Linked DNA regions of Drosophila melanogaster. The protein of the gene in region 2 purifies or fractionates together with the protein of the main gene of each other region. This does not show direct contact. Each region holds a gene or a part of one and is shown on either strand. Other genes may lie near its edges.

Region 1 (4,718 bases), on a different chromosome or scaffold from region 2:
TTCACATCGTTAACTTCGTTTACGAACATCTTGAGGGACGATTTTTGCTCAAAATTAAAACATAAACAAACGAAGTCCGCAACACGTGCGCCCTCTATCGATAGACACGATTGTCGATAGCATCTGGCTGCGATAAGCACCTATCGCGGCAGTGTGACCCTTGGCTTGCCAATTGCTCAGTGTGACCGCAGGAAACCAAGCAAAACAAGAGAACGCAAAAGCAGTGAAAAAAGACTACTGATTTGCATCGACCTACCAATTGAAAATAATCGCAATAATTGCCTCTCGGTGCAGCCCCGCAACCCCGCGAAGCCAGTGTGCGTGCTAGCACGAAAGTGAACTGCATTTTGCATCGCCAAATTGCCCAAAAATTGCAATCGAATTCCGCACAGCCAAACAACAATACGCACACATACACACAGTACCCCCCGCTCTGCGTAACCGCCCTACGTTACACATTCCGTTCGCTCCCTAAGGTGGACTAAAACTAAAGTGATCTAAAACGGTGAGTAATATTCGTTGTTTTTCCTTAAGCCAATTAAACACTGATTAAATTATGCGAAATGGAAAACCGTCTGCGAAGGGGTGACGCAGTGCAGCTGTGGGTGCTCCGCAACTTTCCCTTGTGCTCTCGCTCTCTCTTGTTTTTGTCGTTAGGCAGCAGCACTCCATTGTTGTTGTATACACCCCCTGATTGCTTTGATACCCTGCAATGGGGAGTTACTGTTTTGTGACCAAGTTAAGAAAATAAATATGATTTACAAAAATCGATTAATTCTGGGGATGTTTCAGGTTTTTATGGTGTATAATTTATTTTTTGAATTTTTAGGGGATGGTGGGGCAAAAACGGCCGCCACTCTACTTAAAAATCGGTAGGTGAGGAGTTTGTTTAGTATACGCTATAAATAAATACTCTAAATTAGTTTTTATAAGATGGATTATTATATGAGTGTATGAGTTATCATAGAAATATTTACCTGTGCTTATATATTAATTTATTATATGAATTATGCAAACAAGGTTTTTTCAAAATGTAGGCGAGCATGAATAAAAAATTATAATAAATCAGAAGTTTTCTTAGTAGTTGTTATCAGTTATTAATATATTTCTTTTTCATTTTGTTGTGTCTTATTGCGTTGTTGTCTTCAATGCGGGCTTATTTTATTAGTTTGAATGGATGTGCGCTTATTTGTAGATACTCAAATATCAAATCGTATTCAGTTATATCTTAGAAATGGAATATAAAGCGCACATTTATAAAAGTATATTTATATTTAAGATTTTTTGCCAAAGGGTATACATACTTCGTCTGTGTATAAATATATATTTCTCATACTCCTTTCGTTATTTTCCCTGTTATGGGTGCGCCGCTGTGTTCCTTTTATGAGGGGCAATGATGATCCACTTCCATTCAACACATTTTGCAAATAAGTACATATGTACTTCGCCTCCATTGATTGCTCCACTGATGTTTGGCCTTTGGCGCTTGACTGATAAGACTCGAGACCGAGACCTACTACTTAGTTAGTCTAAACTGCCCGTCATAGAGCCTATTAAACTGATATGCACTTGTCACTTTGACAAGCAATGATAAGCGATTATAACTGTATTTGATGATTTAAGTATGAGCAATTAAGAATCCATAATTGATACTCATCTTTTCACACTATATGCTGCTAAGTCACATTCTTTTGTATGAAATTCATTCATATGAAGTAAGGCAGGATGATTACCCTAAATACAAACTAACTTGATGAATAACTTCGCGCGTACTGCTCTTAATAATTGAATTCCCACGATTGCTTGCTCGGCGACCTTGATCCAAATCGCTTTCAGCTTGGGCGAAGGGTTCAATTCACTCTCTTCAGCGCCCCTTAACTGCGGACAAATCAAAGGCTTTCGAACGACACGGATACTGCGAATGGACAAAGTCAAGTGGCATGAAGTGGATATACCCGCCGCTCTTGAAGCTTGCCTCTTTCTTATTTTTTTTTTTTTTTGGCTTCAGTTGGCAGGCAAACAAACCCGGTCGGCTGTTCAAACACAAGCAGGCCTTAAAAAGAAATATCGGGGCCAGTTCGAGAAAGGGGAACAAAATGTGGTGTCGACGCAGAACAAATTAATGCAGCGCCTCGGTTTGTTGATAAGCAGCGACTACGGTTGGACATTCAAATGAGGAGCTGATAGTAGTAGTTAACACTGTTTGATTGGGTCAGAGTTCATTTCTGCCGGTGTCAAGATGAGCAAAGTGCGCAGCGTGGTGAACAAACTGCACGAACGCATAGACTACTTTATTGAAAAATGTGTGAAATATTCTATATACTCAATGACTCTGCAATGTAATAATAATAATAATTTCGCTTGCTTTTTAGGTCCCAACATGACTGCAGCGCCATACAACTACAACTATATCTTTAAATACATCATCATTGGTGACATGGGCGTGGGCAAGTCCTGCCTGCTCCACCAGTTCACCGAGAAGAAATGTGAGTAGACTGTGCTGAGTAATAATGTATGTAATAAGAACTAATCTCTACTTGCCGTCCTGCAGTCATGGCCAATTGTCCTCACACCATTGGCGTGGAGTTCGGCACACGCATCATTGAGGTGGACGACAAAAAGATCAAGCTACAGATCTGGGACACAGCGGGTCAGGAGCGATTCAGGGCAGTGACACGCTCCTATTACCGTGGAGCAGCTGGTGCGCTGATGGTCTACGATATTACCAGGCGGTAAGCGAAGCAAGCTACTATTTGAGAAATTGCTTTACAACTTGACCATTCCAGCTCCACGTACAATCACCTGAGCAGCTGGCTTACCGACACTCGCAATCTCACCAATCCCAGCACTGTGATCTTTCTCATTGGCAACAAATCGGATCTGGAGAGCACTCGGGAGGTTACCTACGAGGAGGCCAAGGAGTTTGCCGACGAGAACGGCCTAATGTTTCTCGAAGCGAGCGCTATGACGTGAGTTTCAACTGGAAGCATAGTGTTTGAGCATATACTGATTATCTTTTTTTTTATCGCCCAAACAGTGGCCAGAATGTGGAGGAGGCTTTTCTGGAGACCGCACGCAAGATTTACCAGAACATCCAGGAGGGTCGGCTCGATCTGAACGCCTCCGAGTCCGGAGTTCAGCACAGGCCATCGCAGCCGTCGCGAACTTCGCTGAGTAGCGAGGCTACGGGCGCCAAGGATCAGTGCTCGTGCTAAATGAATGATGGAACCTAACTTTACGCAAAACCTAGTTATACAAATCAACTTTTATTTTTAGCCGACTCGTAATCTACCGATGCCCAAGCAAAAACCAATGTATGTAGTTAAATAATTCGATTAAGCATCAATGTGTGAGCCAACAACAGCGACAGCAACCACAAAAAAAAAAAAAAACAGAAAAAGAAAATATAAAGTCCTTTCGCTTAATAAGACGCAAGCATTGCAACATTTATTGTATCGGTTAAGCATAAATACTAGAAAATTAAACATGTTTGTTGGCGCAAACTAAAGTTTTGACCATGAAATTTCGAAAAGTTTATCGCACTAACACCATCCTTCGGTCTCAATTTATAGATGAATTCGTTTGAGATATAGATCATGTTTTTGTTGGCTGATGAATCCCTGTATATAATATATATATGTATGAATTTTTGTATCTCCCTAATTTTTTGTTGAGTATTTGTTGTTGTCGCGTGCAAGAATTGGAGGAAACGATCAATGTTATATGAATATTTACGATGTATTAATGGCATAATGCAATAGGAAATAAATAAAATGGTATTTATAAAACCCCTACCAATAGAAATGAATTTCTCTTTCAAATAATTTAAATTTTAATTTGCATATTTAACCATTCGTTTATATTTAATTCTACACCAAATCGCTGGATAATTTTATAATTTACCGGATTTCCATTTAATAGATTTAAATTTTATAAATATTTGGGTACTTACGATTTACTTAAATATTTTGTAAAAAGCTTTTTTAATCCATTTAGTGGAATACCCTCAACTTTGACTTGCGCATAACTTCATTCTTGTTTTATTTAGTGATGCTAACGTTGGGTTGGAAATCAGCTGATTATGACTATGAACAATAAAGTTTGTAAGTCAAACAACGATTTTTCGTATACTGTTCTTTTGTTTGTTGCTGGTTGTCTAATTAATCATTTTAACTGGTTATCAGTCCAATTTTTGTTTTCTACACTACACTATTCTACACTATTTTCGATTTCCTTGAAATTTAGCGGGAAAAACTCTGAGCTAGCATCTTCGGTGGCATCGCTGTGTGCGCGCTTTTGTGCGAATGCCATGGTATGCAAATTAAATTTAATTTATTCCGATCATCATGAAAGTGACAAAGTAGCTGCTTAAGTAGCCAGGGAAGCGCACAACGTAATCTAATCTCGATCCATGATGCAAATCAAGCGCCTCCTGTGCAAATCCTGCGGCCTGGGCACCCTTCTGGTGGCGGTCGTCTGGCTGCTGGCGCTGCTTTTCTACTCGCACAGCCTGCGCAGCTCCATCCGCTCGGCAGGATGGAGGATCGACGAAGGGAACGCAACGCCACGGGCCGAGCTGAGCTACCAGGCCAGGGTCACCGTCGGATGCACTCCAAATGCCAGCATTACCACTGGCGAATCGCCGGCGGCACCCAAGCCGCCCAGTGATCCGGAGCAATTGGAACTGTTGGGTGTGGTGCGCAACAAGCAGGACAAGT
Region 2 (5,341 bases):
TGTCACGGTCCTTCGTTTGAGAAATGAAATCGAATTCCGCAGCATTTTAAAGCCATCACTCAAGTCAATTCCTTCGCTTGCAGCCTTCGCCTGCCGGTTCACAAATGAATTTTCCAACTTGGGGTAAACCACGCAATGTACAGTTCGACTGCCAGGCGAATACATTGCCTTTGAGCCTTCCGTCTATGACTGGCTTAGAAAAATGTTTCAAAAAACCAATAAAAATGCCGCAGTCAAGGAGTGAAAAGAATTTTGTTATTTGGCGTCGGTTCTGCTTTTTGTATTTACCAGATAAGTTCTTATTTACAAAAGTTAGTCCAGGTCAACGGAGACCTGGTCGATGGAGAGAAACAGAGTCCGAACACTTGCCATTTGAATGCTCAATAGATTCCGATTCATCATTCGCACTGACGCACAATCCATATCGGAATCTGCATCTAAGGCAGTGTCGGCATCGAAGACTTTGCCAATCGCACAGTAGCAGTTTCAGTTGTCAAATGATTTGAGCGATTGCCTTGCGGCAAAGCCACACAGAGCGTAACGGCCAGCCAAACAATGGACCTAAATTATTGCCAAATAGCATATACTCACCATCGCACCCACGCCGAAAGTATCTCACAGATACATATACCGCTGGACGAGTATCTCGACAATTGCCTGCCCCAAAACCAGGGGCCACAAACTTTGTCTACATTGTTCGCGTACATAGCCTTGCCTTGGATATGATGCTGCATAATTTCAATGCTCGCGCACGCGGCGTATACGCAACATGGCCAAAACGCCTTTGATATTGACCGCTCATAGCTAAGCAGTCTCAAAAATTAACCGAGTGCATGACTCGGAAATGAAGTTTACATTTCCTCTTCCTTTTTACCTGTGCGAAAATGTTTTACCCAGCTTCCCACTCAGCAACACATACAAAAGGCCGTTCCCATTCTCTTTTTGTCATGAATATTAATTTTTAGAGTTGTTTTACAGATGGGGCTCTTCTAATTAGCTTTTGCAAACAGTGTCTGTTAAGTAGAGCCAGTAATTGAATCACAACTTCGGAATGAACTTTTAATGAAGCATGTCGACTATTTAGCCATTAGTCTCAATACGGCTGTCTTTAAATTCAAATTCCAATTGAAAGCAACTATTTAATCAATCGCGTTCACTTGTTTGAAAAGTAAAATCCTGCCACAGACTTCACCAGACACGCGTATCTTAGCCCCACGCCTTTTTCCATTTAACCAAGGCCATTGGTTTGGCGAGGGCGGCTTGCAGACAAAATAAAATGCAAGTTAAATGCGTTTCATAGACCGTCTGTTGCGGTCTTAGAAACCTTTTGCATTCTTTTTTTATTTGCCCGTTCATTCAAGGTTTTTCTATGGATATTTCAACAGTTTGTTTGTGGCGGCGATGGAAATAGTGCTCACAATATATTTACGATATTCGGAATCAGCTTGCCAGCTCACCCACCTCAAGCCTATGATTTTCGTCCCAAAGCATAACTTCAAATCAAGCGCATATTAAATAAACAATCATAATGGAGTACCGACTGAGCCCACTCGGAATTTTATAAATCCCAAATCCTTCAGGAAGGGATACTAAACCGAATTCTGTTCGGTTTTCTGGAGGCGGAGCTAAAGAAATTACAGTCATGCTATGGAGTCTCTCTCGTTTCTGGTTCGACGGCACTGCTCTCGCTCACACTTTCAGGCTGAGCAGCTGATCCGCTCTAACCACCGGTACCGATCGCAGCCTCTCGCTCTTGCATCGCCTGGCTGCCGGCCTGCAATTCCACCCTCGCGCCCGCACTGCTTCTTCACTGAACAAAACTAGTTTCTTGGCTCTGAGAATCTCACGGATTCGTTTTAGTCTTGCGGCTGACCGTTTCAAAATCAGTTTCGAGCTGTCAAGCAACCGAGCAGCATCATCATTCACTGCGCACTCGCAACAGCAGATACACACTCCAAAAATAATTTAGAATTCCTAACAGTCGGGCCTCGCGAAGATTAATTTGAAACGTATAAGTAAAAGTGTTAACAAAACTCCGAAGAACTCTCAAAAGGATTACCGCAAGGAAATGGCTGTTTCGGCTCTCAACATGACACCCTACTTTGGCGGATATCCCTTTCAAGGTAAGCACCGACAGATAGATACAAGATCACAACGACCATTACCAATTACCACAATTACTGGTACAAAACGCCAGATTCAGACGCAGAAAAGTGCTGGCTCATCATTTGGGGCAGCGCTTTCGCCCGCTGTTTTCAAACGAGGGATCATTACCCGTTCGGCAGCATGATCAGCTTTCTGACTTATTGATTGTAATCGGCAACTAGCCCGGACAGGCAATGGCCATACCCAGACCCAGTGAAAAGCCAACCTCTTCGAACCCCAGCTTAAGGTGCGGACTTTGCAGACTTTTTGGCGCGACCGTCTTGCCAGCTCATGTCTCGACTCATGCCACGGCGGCGTCGTGTCGCTGGGCTTTGATCTTGAATCGACTCAGTGTCTGTGTTGGAGCTCGGGGTCTTGTGTATCACGTAGCTCAGTAACGTCAGCGCCCCAAACATCAGACCCTGCACAGGGACCGGGCTTTCATTTCTCTTTACGGCTGTTTTGGGGCCGCCTTTTCATATACACACACTTGTATTAGCCGGCGCAGCTGGGCATCTGCTGCTCTTATGGATTATTAGTTTGATTTGATTGCAAAAGCCGGCCCGGGATGCAGCTATGTTCGCAGCCGCGTCCCCTGTCGAGATTGGTATTTTTCCCCACCACCGCATACCATTCGTCTGCAAGAGGCTTACTATTTTCTCAAAAAGGCCCACGCAAATGACCAATTTGCGTTTTGTTATGTCTACAAATGGCTATGGTATCGTTTGTGCCAATCTTCAACAAAAGATCGTGCGTATTGATCCTGCGGCTTATCCTGATTAGTGCAGTTCAGTTAGTAAGCAATTGAAGTGGTCAATGCCGTCTAACTAGATTACTTTCTTTCGCTCAATGGAGCAAGGAAAAAAGTTAATTTAAATATCGTTCCGAAAACAAGACCACACAACTAACGTACTTAAGATATTGTAATGGGATCAGACTTCCATGGACGTACTTACGAACAAATGCTGACTTGCAAGTGTATTCATGCCTGTTTCTCTAATTCTTCCAGGACAAGGTCGTGTCAACCAGTTGGGTGGCGTCTTCATCAACGGCCGTCCGTTGCCCAATCACATCCGTCGCCAAATCGTGGAGATGGCAGCAGCTGGAGTCCGTCCCTGTGTCATCTCCCGCCAGCTGCGCGTCTCTCATGGCTGCGTCTCAAAGATTCTAAACCGCTTCCAGGAGACTGGCTCCATTCGGCCCGGAGTAATCGGTGGCAGCAAGCCCCGTGTAGCCACGCCAGACATTGAGTCCAGAATCGAGGAACTTAAACAGTCGCAGCCCGGTATTTTTAGTTGGGAAATCCGCGCCAAGCTAATCGAAGCGGGAGTCTGCGACAAGCAAAATGCTCCGTCGGTGAGCTCTATTTCGCGTCTTCTGCGAGGATCCTCCGGATCAGGGACCTCCCACAGCATCGACGGCATCCTCGGCGGAGGCGCTGGTTCTGTGGGAAGCGAGGATGAGAGCGAGGACGATGCCGAGCCCAGTGTGCAGTTAAAAAGGAAACAAAGGCGTTCCCGGACGACATTCTCCAACGACCAGATCGACGCCCTAGAGCGCATCTTCGCCCGTACACAGTACCCCGATGTCTACACCCGGGAGGAGTTGGCCCAGAGCACGGGATTGACCGAGGCCCGTGTCCAAGTTTGGTTCTCTAATCGCCGTGCTCGTCTGCGCAAGCAACTGAACACCCAGCAGGTGCCTAGCTTTGCTCCCACATCTACTTCTTTTGGCGCAACTCCCACTACCAGTGCCGCCCCTGCTCCAAACATGGGAATGAGCCTTTACAGTTCACAGAGCTGGCCATCATCCGGAGCCTATGAAAATCATGCTGCCTATGGTGGATCGGTTGCATCCATGTCCCCCGCCAGCAGCACCTCGGGTACCAGCTCTGCCGCCCACAGTCCCGTACAGACGCAAGCGCAGCAGCCAGGAACTGGAAGCGAGTTTATGACCTCCACTTACGGCGTGGGATCGAGCAATGCTACTTACCCATCGGCTGCCTATTCAATGCCGCAGACTCCTGCTACATCCGCGGAGCAGCTGAGATCCCAGTTTGCATCTGCCGCCGCTTCGGGCTCTCACCACCCCTCCACGTGGGACAGCTACAACTTTGCGGGTTCCTTTTTCCCTCCCGCTTCTGCCGCAGGCAACCATATTAGCGGCTACCATCATCAGGTTGATCAGAAGAGCTCAATGATGACCACTGCACCAACCTATCCATACTTTGGATTTTGAGACGATCCCTGCTTGTTCCTAATCTTGTGGGTCGTTTGAAAACTTTAACAGTACTTTAATGTTGCTACTCGTATAGACCTACATTTAACACCCCTAAGACTGTTTAAATTAGTACTTTAATACAAATGTTAGTTTTAGGTTAAGGAGCAATTATCAAAACAATAAAAGAAAACATTTAAATAAAACCCAACGGTTAGTTTTATTTCTGAGAACTAAAATATACCTATATATAATTTAAAAATCAAGAAATATGGGATCATTGCGTTTCTGTATACCCAGAAAAAATAAAGTACGAAAAGCTTTATTAGCTCGTTAAACATAATGATATCTCTTTAATCCCGCAATTCTTTACCTTTTCAATGTTTCCAAATTCGTATTTTATAAATTTCAAACGGTGATTTTTGATTTAAATGTAAGTGTACGGTGAATTCAATTAATTCTGAATGGAAGTTATATCCAACCATATAAATTTTCACAATATACTCAAGCCGCTTACACTTCATTAAACTAATAACAATTCTAGACCACACACATCAACAGTTTTTGTCAAGTTCCTGTGGCAACCTAACAGGTTAACAAGCCCATCCGAGTAATCCCTCAAAATAGTCTAGAAACGTTTCTTTAAATTGTCAAAGTGATGTTAATCATCGATCGTCTTCAAATCTGTGCAGATTGGAAGAAGGCCGTGATCTGGATGAGGGCGCTCTTTAGGCATATTCAAACAAAAACTGGCTCATGATCTGACCATTAAACAATTAGAGACAAAAACGGACAACACGTACTGCGGATTTGATAATACAAAAATAATTAGGGATTGGTGAATGGTTTGGGAAAACCACACACATCGCAGCAAAATAGAGTAATTGACAAGGTAGATGGGCAAAGTATGAGCAGTGGAATCGGGCGACCACCAACGTCACTGAATCGTGACTTTTAAGATGCCGCCAAATGTGGGCCT

Evidence for each region. The genes of interacting proteins can lie anywhere in the genome.
Region 1: the proteins of gsb (region 2) and Rab14 purify together in Drosophila melanogaster (affinity purification with mass spectrometry, with the first as the bait; one large-scale study listed by BioGRID). This does not show direct contact.

What each region holds. Positions count from the first base shown.
Region 1 is NT_033779.5:14,354,969-14,359,686, forward strand, and holds Rab14 (Rab14), read left to right. Parts: upstream 1-2,072; 5' UTR 2,073-2,239; coding exon 2,240-2,303; intron 2,304-2,312; exon of another isoform or gene 2,313-2,372; coding exon 2,373-2,486; intron 2,487-2,551; coding exon 2,552-2,732; intron 2,733-2,786; coding exon 2,787-2,969; intron 2,970-3,037; coding exon 3,038-3,215; 3' UTR 3,216-3,796; downstream 3,797-4,718. Other genes in the region: l(2)34Fd (lethal (2) 34Fd), read right to left, coding at 1-29; Pgant35A (polypeptide N-acetylgalactosaminyltransferase 35A), read left to right, coding at 4,412-4,718.
Region 2 is NT_033778.4:25,060,080-25,065,420, forward strand, and holds gsb (gooseberry), read left to right. Parts: upstream 1-1,884; 5' UTR 1,885-2,068; coding exon 2,069-2,123; intron 2,124-3,154; coding exon 3,155-4,383; 3' UTR 4,384-4,564; downstream 4,565-5,341. UniProt on the Drosophila melanogaster protein: Expressed in segmentally repeating pattern to define the polarity of embryonic segments.